Linked DNA regions of Nothobranchius furzeri. The protein of the gene in region 2 purifies or fractionates together with the protein of the main gene of each other region. This does not show direct contact. Links are inferred from orthologs where the notes say so. Each region holds a gene or a part of one and is shown on either strand. Other genes may lie near its edges.

Region 1 (4,193 bases), on a different chromosome or scaffold from region 2:
CATGCAGAGGTTGCTGGGTACTGTGGGGAGCAAGCTCCAACAGGTTTGCTAAGGTCAGGATGTTGGGGGGATTAGGGTGTGTCTGCCTCCCCACCAGCTTCAGCCCCTGCAGGTAAGTGCTTGACTGAGCTGTGTCGGTGCTGTCGGCCACGTTTACACAGGCATGACCATTCCCTGGAACTTCTTGCAAATGCCTTTCTTTCAGATACGCTGAATAGCATAAAGAATTTAATTGAATCAAACATTCCAAATGGGATGGTGATGGAGAGAAAAATGTTCCCTTTAGACACAAGGAATCTCTAACCAGGTGCAAGCAGGTGAAGCTTGAGGAGGTTCTGAAATCTGAGGTGGGACATTAAGGGTGTTAGCTCATCGTTGTCGTCAATCAGACAATCTGGAAACTGAAATTTTAGCAAATCTGTAAAAGATCACATGAGATGAGAGGATAAAACAACGGAAAAATAGATAAATAAGGTGCCTCCATGCACATGGAATTAATGAAAGTTGTCCAACCCCTTACAACACTAAAAAACAAACATCTAGTGGGTCGCTTTTATGAATGGGGCAACGACTCCCATCCATCCGTGTCCCAACATGATCTTAAAGCCTCTTTTTTTCTGTTGTAGCACAGGTTCAGTCACAGCTGGGTGGTACTTCTCTGCAAGCAGACGATGCATCTGCTTTGCAGGTTTAGAAAAAGGAGGTCAGTCCTTTCTTTTTGGGGGAGTCTGGACAGAAAAATGATCTGAGTTGTTTGTGAATCCGAGTTACACTTTATGTGCTGCAAACGCCATAAAGCATCAGGTTACAAGTTGTATTCCTAAATATTTTTTTCATTCTAATAAAATATTTTTGCAGTTTTCATTCACATCTAACAGCCATCTAGTAAACAGGAAATCTGTTTTATCCATTCCAAACCTGTTTCAGCAGGGCTGTGCGTTTCATTATGTCCACAGCGACACGATGAGCTGATTTTAAAGCACAGAGAGGGACAAGGCCACAGTTTGTTCTGGCCTTTTTCCTGTCAGGGGCTCTGTATGTTTATGCTGCGGCTTTGACACCCATTCACGCTTGAGGAGCTGAAATAAACAAGCCACGAGAGCTATTGGGGAAAAAGAAAACAAGACGGAAAAGTGGGTGTGGGGTATTTTTAGCTGGTTTATTACCCAACACTGAAACTCTACTCTAGTGCATTTTTGTCTCACATTTTCATGAGATCTTTTGACTAAAAATGACCGTACCAACTCTGTCCAGATTTGTGGAGTCTGAAAGCTTCCAAAGTGCTCCCTAATTACCATTTTCTATCCCAAGGTCATAGTGGAATGCGTTCCAAAATGGATTATGTTCCTACTTGTGCTCTGCCGTTCTCTTTTCCCCTCTTTCTTGCTGTCCATGCCCTGTAACTGCTTTCATTCTCCTTCCTCGTCTAGATCTCTGCTCCTTTAATGACTTACACATGTCACCCAAAAGGCAGCAGTGCTGCGACAAAGTGAAATGCCTCCGTCCTCTGTCCTTTGCTGCAAACACAGTGTTATGTTTACAGTACACAACCCCAACCCTCCGCCATTTGCAACTATTGCTTGGGATCCTTAAGGAAAATACTGACATGTTTATTTTGTTCCGAGGAGAAAGAATTTGTTCGTGTGACTCAGAAAGAACCAGCAACAAAAAAACTATAATTGTCAGTTTAAAAAAAAGTTTCTCTTGTTTTTCGTGGTCTGTAATTAGAGGAAATCTTGAAAGCATTCAGCCTGCAAAACGGCTCAGAACAGCCCGCGTGGTTTATGTCGGTTGAAAGGAAAGGTGTGCAGGAGGGTGTGGATGCAGGTGTGTGTCTGATATGCAGGTGAGGAAGACTGGGTCTGCACTGATGTAAGCACACTTGTACAAGTCATCAACAATGGCTGCCTGAGAGAAGCGAAAGCCTCGAGGGTACAAATACCGCAAAGCAGCTGTAGCTCAAACCAAAAAAAAAAAAGAGTAACAATAAATAGTGTTTTGTGACTATTATTTTCTGACTGGGAGAAAAAAAAACAAAGGTCCTTGTGTGGCCAACATTTATTTTAGGTTTTAATCTTTTTTTATTTTTGGATGCAAGTCATTCACGAGCATGGTTATGTGTTTCATATTATAAAAAGTTATCGTCCACCAAAACACCAGAACACCAAGAAAACCCAAATTATAGCTTCTACAAAGACACAATTCTCCAAGGAGGGCCTTTAAAAGTTAAAAAAAAAAAGAATACAAGATCCAGTCATGCTGCATGGAGTTCACTGTAAAGGCCTTCAGTAACACTTATCCAAAGTAAGCACACACACACACACACACACACACACACACACACACACACACACACACACACACACACACACACGATCAGTTCTTGGTTAGTTTGAAAGACTACATTCTCTGTCCTCACACAGAACTGATTGAAAACAAGCAGAGCTTGCGCGCGCACACCCACACACCCACCACTGGTGTGGGCCAAAGTAAATACAAAGAGCAGTGACCTGTTTTGCTCATAGAATAAATGAGCAACCTTCCAAATCAGGAGCCAATAAGAAAGTTACACATTCCTCCAGGTGAAAAAAGTGAGACGTTTCCTTTAAGAACAGCCTGATTTAAATTAATGATTTACCTGAAATTGTTCGCCCAACGTGACTCACCTTCTAAAGTTATCCCAGACACGTCTTCCTTGTTCTTTTTCCACTCTTGATTCTTCTAGCTGCTGAAACAGAATGAGAAAGTCCAAAGAGTCCCCTGCCCGTCATACAGGCTCAGTGCGGACTGAGAGGCGCATTTCTCCTGCTGGAATGTGATCTGAGGCGCTCCACTGGACCCACTTTGTGCCTCAAACCGGCGCTCCCTTCGCCTCTTTCAGCGGTTATCTGTGATGAATTTTAAATCCTGAACTTGCGCACCAAGTCTTTCTCAGTAGATTTCCTCCAGTGCGAGCTGCCGCTGCGCCGCGCTGCGCACACGCATACCACAGGTTCTGGCACGGGGTAGTCCTCCTCCTCACTCCGGCGCGGAGGCTGTTCCTCATGTTCCCTCCCTTTCCTCTCTCTCTCTCTCTCTCTCTCTCTCTCTCTCTCACACACACACACACACACACACACACACACACACACACACACACACACACACACACACACACACACCCTCGCTTCTCACGCAGATGGGGACTTCCTGCCAGCCCCCACAAACAGCACACCCCTCAAAAAAACTTCAGGAGCAAATAAAGCAACCATGGAGCAGTTAATGACGTTTTAGAAACATCTTATATTGATAAAGGAAAAATATTTATTTCTGACTTAATTGTATTTTTGAATCACAAACAGTGAATGTGACTAAAAGTGGATGTTTTCACCTGCTCTTCTGAGATCCTGATATCATTTTAATTTTCCTTTAATGAAAGAAAAATAACTACTTTTTGTTTGTTGAGATGAAACCTCCAAGTGAGATATAAAATCTACACCTAACTAAAAAGATAGTTGCATTAGATAAAAACACAAACGTGTCTTTAAATCAAGATGAAACAAATGTTTTACTCAAAATCGTAACTCGATTGTTTAAATACTTAACATTTATATTTTTAAGGTAGACTTTTGCGAATTTAAGACAAATTCTCCACTAAAAAATCTAACATCTGTGGCTGTTCAAACCAAGTCATTAAATAATCTTATGTTGGTCATGTTTTTGTCTGGTAGGGATTATGCTGCTTTACAAATTTTTAACAAAGATAGATAGAGCTGCAAATATTAAACTAAATGGCGATTGTGTTTTATGTTTTAGAGTTAACATGTCAATTATAATTATCCTGAAGAAAGTCTATTCACAAAGTGAGATTAAGTGTAAAAAGTTTAGAGCTGGAATGGATGAGAAAAAAAAGGCATAAATCCATTTTGACAACTTTATTTGTATTCAAAAGGGAAAAAAATACATTTTTTAAATGGATATAGTATTCTTTGTAATTATTTTCTGAATTTTACCAAAATATTTGAGATGAACAAAAATGATCTCAGAAAACATGAATGAAGCTAACATAAATGAACACATTAGCATAACAGAACAAGCAGAATCACTTATATGTTCATGTTAAATCTGAAGTCAAAAGCTTTTAAGGTAAAAGTTTAAAAATATATGCTGTGTGCTAAAACAAGCCAAAGAGTATAATCAACAAGTGTTACAAT
Region 2 (4,092 bases):
GTTTGCTCTTCTCCTAATCAGTGAGTCAGCTGTGTGTGTGTGGGCTTGAATGCACGCACGAGAGTGTGCACGCTTGTTAGCGACTCGTTTTTCCGATTGAGAAGCTCCGTGAGCTGATCGTGGGGTGGGGGTGCTGTAAACCACTGTCTCATTACAGCTCTCTCTGTCCACCAGGCAACACCTCCTTTAAGTGCATTTTTCTAACAGAAAGTGTGGGTGAAATAAGTCTCCACCCATGGTGTGACTCACCCTTTAAATCCACCCAACATCTCTCTACAGAGTGCTGTGATTGGCTCGAACTAAAATTGTTTTAGCCAATGGTAGACCTGCTGAGGTTTCAGTGAAGCATAGCTAGACTGACCTGCAGAGCAAAATCTTACTGCTGGTTTGTCTAAATGTCTAACTTGATTCTTTCCCTCTTTATCAAAAACTTTTTTCCTGCTGGGTTGTTAGGAAATAATGTGTGCACAGTAATTATCTAAAACACAAGTAAACCTTAATAAATGTTGACACTTCATGCATGGCACCAGAGTTAGCCACTGGCTAATGAACATTTGCAGTCCTGACAGAATAAAAACAGAACACAAAAGTTCCACCTATCAACATATCCACGTGGTATCACAACAAATATGTTCTAAAAAAAGGTAGGGGTGCCCACTATATCAGCATCAATATCGGTATTGACAGATGTTAGTCATTTTTTAACATATCGGTCCGATAAATAAAACTTGGCCGATATTAACAACTGATGTTTTTCCATCTCATTTCCATTTGTTTATGTTTCAGAGGGTGAGGGGGTGATGCATATTTGTTTAGTCATGTGACAGTGATTGTAATCATCTCAGAACAGAAGTGTAAATGTGTGTGGTGTGTGTACATAATAACGTAAACTCAGCTTTAATGGTTTTCATTCTATACAAAATGACGATATTAGAAGCATTAATGTCAATATATCGGTATCAGCAAATATCGGTTATCAGCAGTAACAGTGATATTAATATCGACTATCAGTATCTGCCCAAATATTTCATATCGGCGCATCACTAAAAAAACAGCTTAAAATACATTAAAATGTCAACTTTACAGTTCATTGCATGACAGAAGAAAGAAAGAAAAGGATCTAGTGCCTCTCAAGATAAAAATCACGAGGCGCTTCACAAAAACAAAATATTTAAAATATAAAATACAATTTTAAGATTAAAAATATGTTTAAAATGACAAAAAAAAAATTGATCAAAAAAATATAAGGAAAGGGAGAAAGAAAATGAATATCAGACATGATACATTAAAGTAGTTTCCAATAGCTCTACAATTCTTGTGAGGCTACTCTGGTGGCGCTCTGGTGTAGAAAATTGCTGCCATTAAGTAAATTGAGCTATAAAACATTGATACATCAAGTATTCTGCAGGTTACCTGCTTACCTGGATCAGATTATTAATCCCACTAAAATAAAGCTGCCTCTCTTTTATTATGCACATCAGTATGGACTGAATTAATCCCCTCAATAACCACAGAATTTTTACCTGAAAAGAGGACGCTTGGTGTGAAAAAGTAACAACAGTTCACACTGATGTTTTTATGTGGAGGAGAATAGACTTAATTGATACACTATAATGTAGAAGCGAAGCACAAAGACAGAACTGTACATCAAATCTATGGGAGGAAGTATGAGTTTAGTGCTCTTCCACTCAGTACAAGCTGTCATTGTACCGCTTTCACCACATACTTTGCCCTCATCCGTTTCTGTAAAGCAGGCCTGAAGGAAATGAAAGAAAATATACCCATAAATAGTCACGTTTTTCATAAATAAATACCGGTACACACTTTTATCAAGGCTGCAGTTAAGAACACTGGGAAATGAAAAAATGTACCATTCTCTGTGAGGGGCAATCCCCTTTTTCATGCCACCCACTCAGCCATCTGAGTGAACTTTGTGTTTTACAGCTTTCCAGAGTTCAGATGATGGGTAGTGTTGATCTTACCAAGTAGGCACGTCAAGAAACTCCATATAAGTCAAAGATTTTCTTCCTGAGCAGCAGACGGACACTTCCTTGCTGCAGAAAGCATGCAGTGCAAGCTGCTGCTGCGGTTTTATAAGCTCTCGTTTTGTTTCAGCAGTTTATAGGTTGTGACCAAAAAGTTCTAGTTTAGAAAAACAAAACAAAGTCAACACAGACATCAGCTTTGAGTGCTTCGTTTGTTTTTTAAAGGGCACATTTCAGTTTTAGCCAAAGGGGCATCACCTTTAACCTTCATGGTTTACTATAAGGAAGTTATTTGCTTGTGCTTTGTTACCCACTGAAAACTACAAACCATGCATGTGGGGAATTCACGTGTGTGCAGGTGAGAGCTGTCTGTGTGAACAGATCGGTGAGAAGGTGCATGCATGCTGCAGCTTCTTCACCCCAGGAAGTGGTAGTTTGAAGGAGGATGTTAAACAAGGCCATGTCGGTCACGACAGCACTCGGTCAGAATCTGGGTGCATGTAGAGCATCTTTGAGACATAATTCATTATATTTAAGAATCTTTAAAAAATAATCATAACTGAATTCTGATTATTTTCTGCTAGCTGTCAGTTACTATAATCAAAATGCACACCAGAATAAACCCACAGATGACGTTTTGTAAAGCCTTCCTCACCTGTTTTTGCAGGTAAAGTTAAATAATCTGGCAGCAGCAGGTTACTCCGCGTCCATGCTCATTTGTGAAAAGGTGTGTGGGTTTCTTTTAACGCTTTAAAACACCGGCAGCGGATGAAGGAGCCTTAAAAACGGAAACTGGTGAGGATAAAGAAGTGAAATCAAGTCTCGGATCTTCCGAAATTTCAGCTACGGAGCATGAAAACAAATTTCATGATGGTCCAAAGGTCCTGTCAACAATTACAGCTGATAGTCCCTCCCAGCTGTATGGACGAGCGGAGACCTTCCTATAATAAAAGTAGACAGGCGCGACTCAATGGGACGAAAACAGACAAGTTTCTGTCTAGTTCGCGTTCTCTCCGGTCTGACTCCTCTCCTCCCGTCTGCAACTTTCAAGTTTTGGTTTTGCCCCACCTTAATTCATTGACTGCGCATGCGCGTTGTAGTGTCTAAAAATAAGTTGACCAACGATCCGTTTCAGGCAAAACTGTGGAGGAAGTTGATCAATGAAGCAATTCTTACAAAAGAATGTCCAGACAAACCTTCCAGTGTGTTTTTATTTGTTTCATCTGCAGACATGACGCACGACAATATGTTGTGCCCTTGTGCCTGATGGCAGTGAACTTTGCCCTTTGGAAGAAACTGTCCTGCGCAAACAACTCCACTGTTAATTTCTGTCTTTTTTTAAACATTTGTTAATTTTTTTTAACTTAAAAAAGCACAATTATCTGGAATCAAATAACACAGCTGCCATTGTAGCAGAATAATGATGCACCAAAATACTTTTTCGCCCCCTGGTGGTCGAAGATAAAACAGCCTTTTAATTCACATTCACAAGCGTTGAGGCCAGACCTGTCTCAACAGATGTGACATTACACATCAGGCTAAAGGAATGTTGGGAATAGCACACGGTGGGTGACAGTAACCGTGAGAAAAATATATAATCCTTAGGGCTGTTGAACCAGGATTTGCAACCACAACAAAGCCGTCTGCCTCATCCGGAACATAACATCAAACTTGGCTAAACTACGAGCACAATCCCAATTAATTCATGTCCTAAATTTAGTAGAAACTTTATTTCTAGACTGATTTCAACTTTTGTGTAGAAATAATGAAAATGTTTGTATTTAAAAAAAAGATGAAAAAATGTTACATCTGTCAAACCATAATGCAGCAAGGTAGAAGCAACCCTTCCTAAATCCTTTTTCAGTTTGTAAATGCCAAGTTAACACTCTGAATTTAAAAAGTGTTTTCAGATTGCCATGAAGTCTTTATGATCCAACCTTTTTGGTTCTTAAAGGCTACTTTGCGCAGGACATCTAAATGTGTGTGTAGGTCCACACACACATTGTGTGTCCGTTCAAAAGACAAAAATGTCAAATTAAATGGATCATCTGTTGCAGCTTTTATTATGAGAAAATGGGAAGCATTACCTTTAATACTTCAAAGATCA

The links. The genes of interacting proteins can lie anywhere in the genome.
Region 1: the proteins of tyrosine-protein kinase CSK (region 2) and tensin-3 purify together in Homo sapiens (affinity purification with mass spectrometry; 4 studies listed by BioGRID and IntAct, with this or other methods). This does not show direct contact. The link is inferred for Nothobranchius furzeri from reciprocal best matches to the Homo sapiens genes CSK and TNS3.

What each region holds. Positions count from the first base shown.
Region 1 is NC_091751.1:51,822,080-51,826,272, forward strand, and holds the start of tensin-3, read right to left. Parts: upstream 2,868-4,193; 5' UTR 2,667-2,867; intron 1-2,666. UniProt on the Homo sapiens protein: May act as a protein phosphatase and/or a lipid phosphatase. Involved in the dissociation of the integrin-tensin-actin complex. EGF activates TNS4 and down-regulates TNS3 which results in capping the tail of ITGB1.
Region 2 is NC_091744.1:58,988,451-58,992,542, forward strand, and holds the start of tyrosine-protein kinase CSK, read right to left. Parts: upstream 2,854-4,092; 5' UTR 2,641-2,853; intron 1-2,640. UniProt on the Homo sapiens protein: Non-receptor tyrosine-protein kinase that plays an important role in the regulation of cell growth, differentiation, migration and immune response.